Nothobranchius furzeri: one gene and its partner. The protein of the gene in region 2 interacts with the protein of the main gene of each other region in a biochemical or structural test. Links are inferred from orthologs where the notes say so. Each region holds a gene or a part of one and is shown on either strand. Other genes may lie near its edges.

Region 1 (3,829 bases), on a different chromosome or scaffold from region 2:
TGCAGAGGGATGACCTGGAGGTGAAGTGTGAGGAGTGTGTTTTTGAAGCAGTGATGCGCTGGTTGAGAGCCCGGCAGGATCGATCATCGTTACTGGTCAGGCTGCTCTCACACGTGCGGCTGCCTCTGTTGGAGCCGGCATATTTTGTGGAGAAGGTGGAGTCAGACGAGCTGATACGACACTGCAGTGATGCCTTTTCTCTGCTGCAAGAGGCCCGCCTGTTCCACCTCTCTGGCAGGGAGGTTAGTGTCAGTTCAGATCTTTTGAATGAGGTCATAGACCGTCAGTACTTTACCTCTTCTTGACTGATGTTTGAATGACCTCAGCTTGGAGAAATGGAGGAAGATTCTGACCAGATGAATAGGCCAAAAGTTATTTACAATTTACACAGAATTCCTTCAGAAATGTAATGTTTCTGCAAAAATAACAGTGTCATATAAAACTGGTGGTGGTAGAAATTAGCACTGAAGTTGTTTTAAGGCAACAAAAATCCCCTTTGACCCTCATCTGACCCTTCCACTGGATGTGTAAGTGGGACATAACGTAATAGACACGTTTTACCCACAAGCTCCTTTTCCACTGGGAGCGTTTCAGACAGCAGCGAAAGCATTCCACTGACATGGTCACAAAATCACGAGAGAATTTCAAGATCACGCGGGATTTCATCACATCACATGATAACAAGCAAGGAAAAAAATGGCAGCATGTATCCAAAAAGGTCGGTGGTTTATTTTTTTGTTCTGTTTACCTCAGCTACACAGGTTTCAATGGAAATTATGCACTTTTTATTTAGAAGTCAATCATCTAGAAATCTGATTGTGGTTTTTATTTGAAAGTTTGACTCCCTGTCTGGCCTGATCTGAGCCGCTGAGCTTGACGCCTTCTGAAAGCATAAAAAATAGAGTTGAAAGCCTCCTTTCCACCGGGCATGTAACCATCACGAAGCAGCCGCGAAACGCACTTTGTGACTTTTAGCTGCCACCGACAGCTACTGTAAGTTTAATGTTTTGAATGAGTCTCAACAGGAATGCTATATCATATTTAGAGTCTATTTATTATGTGCTACGCTTCCAAAATACATCAAACTCCACAGTTTAGATCGAGCCAGTCAGGAAGTCGAACACGAAATCAGTGTAAAGCATCCAGAAACTTTCAAAATAAAAGACACATGCTGATAAGTGTACGTTGTTTCCTGTAAAATCTCCGTAGCCAATGTAAACAGAACAGAAAATAAATCGCAGACCTTTTAGGATACACTCAGCTGTTTTTCTCCTTGCTTGTTATTGTGTGGACTTCTGAAATCGCACGTGGTGTTGCAGTTCTCCTGTGATATTATGACTTTGTGGGATCAGCGGCGTGGAATGATTTTTCTCCCACTTGCTGTCTCACAGTTGAAAGTTTGCTCGCGGGTAAAACATCACTATTTTGTTACATGCCACTTTCGCGTTCGTTGGAAAGGAGGCTGAAATGTAAGCAACGCGTTCCTAACTTCTGGAACGCTTCCAAAATGCAACGCTTCACAGCCGGTGGAAATGCACTCACCCGCTGCGTACTACGTTTTGCAAACGTTACGCGACACTTACGTGTCCGGTGGAAAGGCCGGGTATCAACCCAGTCAGAAATAAACTATTTCTCCAAACAGAGGCTATTCAAAGAATTATCTATAACAGGCAAGATGCTGATGAAAAAATAACCTTTTCACTTCGCTTTAAATAATCTGACTTATATATTTAAATCATCTTTTTTCACACATTTCTCTCTCTCGCGGACCTGTTTGAAGGTGGTCTCTGAGCGGACCAAACCTCGTGAGCAGCACTTTTTATCAGAAGTCTTCCTCATCATCGGCGGCTGCACCAAAGATGAGCGTTTTGTTCCCACCGTCACATGTCTGGACCCTCTGAGACGCAGCAGGCTGGAGGTGGCCCGGCTGCCGATGACAGAGATTGAGGACGAAACCCATAGTAAAAAATGGGTGGAGTTTTCTTGCATCACTTTCCACAACGAAGTATACATATCAGGTGAGGGTCGTTCTTAGACTGAGAGTGAAATTCATTCACCGTTTGGTGATTTAACACCTGCTGGGTTTCTGTCAAATCAAAGCTGCACAAAGATCAGAAAATACAAGTGAGCAAAAAACAGGAAGAGCTGAAGTTATCTGCATCAACAACTGTGGTTTAGGGTGTTTCCCACCCAGGAACTGAAACCTCAGGCGTGCTGACTTCAACGGCTCAGGACGATGCACACAGTAAAAGTAGAGAACAGGTCATGAGATTCTGCATCAGAGCAGTACCACCATGGTTCAATGCAAAGCAGCAGGGTCGCTTCAGGATAAAGTACTTCATGATGCATCGGCGACTCAGAATGTTTTTTTCCAAACGATCTTGCAGGAGGTAAAGATACACAGCGTGACGTTTGGAAATATAACGGCGCTCTGGATAAATGGATCCAAATAGAGTCACTGGGAAACGCACGCTGGAGACACAAGATGGCAGCTCATGGTGGGAAGGTGTATGCACTGGGAGGATTTGATGGAGTTCAAAGACTTTCCAGTGTGGAGGCGTATGATCCGTTTCACAACCGCTGGACGCAGGTACCATTCTCTCTTTGAGTTTGCTGTCTTACCCTCTTTTTTCCGTTTGACTCAGATTGTTTCAGGCTTTTTTGAATGTTCTTGCCCCAGGTGACTCCTCTTGCTATGGGTGTGAGCTCGTTTGCAGCAGCAAGCTTTGACAGGTGGATTTTTGTGATTGGTGGAGGTCCCAATGGAAAACTAGCCACTGATAAAGTTCAGCGCTGGGAACCAGGGACAGACAGCTGGGAAATGAGGGCTCCGATCCCCATTGAGACGAAATGCACTAATGCTGTAACCTTCAAGGACCGCATCTATATAGTTGGTAAGATGGAAGGAACTTAAAATCTCAGTTATAAATAAAATATTTAAAATTTACTCAAAATGTGCAATGATTTTGTAACCCCTCATTATGACACCATTTAATCCCTCAAAAGTTGCATTTACTTCATCAGTTTATAGGAAAACATGTTGAAACTGCAATATTTCAGTACATTAGAGGACATTTTTATTTTAAATTAATGCAGTTATTAAATTCTGTGTTTTCAGGTGGTGCCATGCACGCCATGTACTGCTACGCCCCCTTGTCCGACTCCTGGACCCTTGTGGCCCAGCTGGGGGAGAGGGCGAGCTGTGCCATCGCCGCCTGCAACAATAAAATTTTTATCACAGGGGGAAGAGATAACAAGAACCAAGTCATCTCCACAGTGATGTGCTGGGACGTTGAGGGAGCGGTGTTGACGGAGGAGTGTGTTTTACCAATGGGAGTGTCTCACCACGGCAGTGTGACCCTCATGAAGTCCTACACACACATTCTTAGGATAACACCCCCATCAGAGGGCCAATGACACAGGCCTCTCTCAAAGAAAGACTATTACAAGGAATTTGCATTTTTACATGAACACTACGCACTTTAAAATTTTGATTTTTGTTGAACAAAACTTTTAGAATTTTTGAAAATTTTCTAATTCAAATTTTTAATTTTAATGTTTGATCTGATTTAAACTAAGATGGTTCTAAAACAAATGAAAATAGACTAAATCTACTCTTTTACTCAGCCGAAACTCTTTCATTCTTCAGACACAAGAAAGAAGGTAAGAATTTAGGTCAACGTTTGGTATATTTTCAAAATAAAAGTAAATCATTTTTCAGACAGGATGACGTGGTTTTCAAATCCTTAACACACATTTTATGAAAATGCATTATCATGGTTTATTAATTTCCTCACCTTGTTGAAATGCTATAGTAAGTACGGGCCTA
Region 2 (2,706 bases):
TCGATCTGTGACATGAATGTTTTATCTCCACAAATAACACAAGCCTGGAGAAGATCAGGGTCCCTAACCCATCACCAAGTGGCTAACGCTATCAGTTAGCTGTAGTTGAGACATTCTCTGCTTTTTCCTGGATGCTAAACCAACAACAGCCTTCACCGTCACGAGTCACAACGGTTGATGAATGTTAAGTGACATTGTGACATACCGTAGATCTGTCTGGATTTTCAATTCCTGGAGTTTCACAGTCTATTTTCTATCAGAAGCTAATGTAGGGGATAGGTGTAGGAGACTATTTTCATATTCAGCCTGCATGAAAAACTCAAAGTGACTGATAACAAAATAATCATTAAAAATAGTTTTTCAGTTTTCCAAACCTTTAAAGTTTATGGGCGTGGTGTTGGCACCGCCCTGGCAGGATGTAGCTTGGACCGGGTCCGTGTTGTGGTAAGCCGTGCGGGATGCTCTGGAAATGGCGCCCCACTTGGAGATAATAGGAGCCTCGCTGAAGGGAATGATGGGATCCTCCTCTTTCAAACGTCTATAGTTATCCAACGTGTGCAGCCATTGTTTCCTGGAGACAGCTTCTCCTTCAGTACCGTCCAACTCCTGCATCAGAACCGCATCAGTGCAAAACGTGGATGTGAACAAACTTGTTAGTCTTTGAGAGGTGTGCTAATTGTGTGAGCGTGCAAAGAGTCTCACCGGATGCTTCGAGCAAGAGTGAGCAGATGTGTGTGTGAGAGCTTCAGGCTCAAACGGGCTCAGGGAGGACCCGGTGGACCCATAGGACCACGGAGAGTAGTGTGCCAGACTTTCTTCGTTTCTGATCCTGCATCCCATACACTGACCTCCGCTGCTTTCCACATGCTGAGCAGAACAAACATTATTCAGCTAGTCAGAGACTTCCTAGTGCCACTGAAGCAACATCACTCAGCAGTTAGTAAAATAAAAAAGAAACAAAATGCTTGGGAAAGACAAAAGAGACAATCTTAAAGTCACATCAAAGCTGCAATTAGTTGCTCACAGAAACCTGCACTAACAGGCTGACTAAATCATCATTCATGGCTGTTTGTTTAAAATATAAGGTATTTTACTCACTACCCGAGATTTAGCCCTTTAAAGTGACAATGTGTAGTTTTTACCATTACTCTCTGGAAATATCCATTGAAATGTTGTATATGAATTAAAAGATGCTCAGTTGTTTAAAAATATTGGCGGTTTCATAACATTTAACCATAAAAATCTGTTCTAAAATACATGGGATTGGGTCTAAGTCTCTGGGCGACACCATATTGGATGCCATGTTTCTTTCTACAAGAGCCCATGGGGACAAATTGTTTTACTGATTTGTAACAAATGGTTACAAAAATTTCAGCATTAACTCATTCACTGCCAATGACGACTAAAGTCGTCATTTGCATTTTTTGACTGTTTCAAAATCAGAACGAGCCCCCGCGCTGAGAGAACAAACATCTCAGCCCTGAAGCCGATCTTCATCCGCATACGTCACACGTCACGTGATCAGGAAGCAGAACATCAATGTGTTAGGAGATTGTTTTGGGCCGTTCCTGTAAAAAAAGTGAGGCGCGAACCGGAAAAGCGTCTGCCGATCACAATTCGACAAAGGATTATGAAAGAACAGATAATGCTGAAAACACACGGATTCTTCCTGATGTAAGAGGTGAGCCTCTGCTTTGTTTTGGTTGTTTTGGTGTCGACATCATCCTAGCACGCAACGTTCTGTAACTCTTAAAAAAACAGTAAAAACGGTGAGAAACGCTGGCAGCAAAGGCCGTTAGCAATCAGGAAACGGCTGGCAGTGAATGAGTTAATAAACGTTCTTTTACACAATTACCTCTTCACTCATTGCAAGTGATGAAAAGGAATCTGATGTTCTTGTTATTTTGCTGGAGGTTACACTCTCAAGGATTTTTGACCTTAAAGGGGCATTATGGAAGTCTGACAGCCAAAACATGTATAGAAATAATAAATTTCTTCTTCATACATTCTCCTGCAATACCCTGGTCCTGTAGAATGAGCCCTGGCATTTTTATTGTGATTGCCTGTTTTTCTGTAAAATCACAGAAAAAGAGAGCTGCTCGGGTCAAGCAGGCTGCTTCATGCGCGTTCACGCTCAGGCATAGCCCTCCGAACCGTTCTTTGAACGTTGTTTCAGCTGTCATCAAGAATATAAATGTTACAGATACAGAAGTCACCACCGGTGATTTAGCTCGCCTAGTAAGATTTTGGACTTCCGTGCAGAAGTCCTGGGTTTGATTCTGGAATTGAACATTGTTGTTTTAGAGTTTCTTTTTTACATTAATGATTTATTTTTTTACAGTAAGATGCCCAAATTTTTATTTGAGACTCGCTGAATGGCATTCAATTCACAGATAAAAAAGATGTGGGTTCAACTTTCATTTTGGAACAATTTTTTAAGCAAGGGAATGGAATTATCTGAACATGCAGGAGGACTGACCCATCATAAACCTTTGTCGGCTGTGCTGAAGAGAAAGGTACAGAGCCAAATTATTTAATTAATTAGCTGCGCGTTCTCCTGTCCTCTGTCCTCCGGGCCACACACACACAAACACACACACACACACACACACACACACACACACACACACACACACATACACACACACACACACACACACACACACACACACACACACACACACACACACAAGGGACTGTCAGCTT

Evidence for each region.
Region 1: the proteins of rc3h2 (region 2) and klhl6 form a complex in vitro, tested with the Homo sapiens proteins (2 studies listed by BioGRID, with this or other methods). The link is inferred for Nothobranchius furzeri from reciprocal best matches to the Homo sapiens genes RC3H2 and KLHL6.

What each region holds. Positions count from the first base shown.
Region 1 is NC_091754.1:23,539,980-23,543,808, reverse strand, and holds part of klhl6 (kelch-like protein 6), read left to right. Parts: coding exon 1-242; intron 243-1,780; coding exon 1,781-2,018; intron 2,019-2,387; coding exon 2,388-2,590; intron 2,591-2,680; coding exon 2,681-2,894; intron 2,895-3,118; coding exon 3,119-3,417; 3' UTR 3,418-3,829. UniProt on the Homo sapiens protein: Involved in B-lymphocyte antigen receptor signaling and germinal center formation.
Region 2 is NC_091746.1:50,004,240-50,006,945, forward strand, and holds part of rc3h2 (roquin-2), read right to left. Parts: intron 868-2,706; coding exon 703-867; intron 607-702; coding exon 375-606; intron 1-374. UniProt on the Homo sapiens protein: Post-transcriptional repressor of mRNAs containing a conserved stem loop motif, called constitutive decay element (CDE), which is often located in the 3'-UTR, as in HMGXB3, ICOS, IER3, NFKBID, NFKBIZ, PPP1R10, TNF and in many more mRNAs.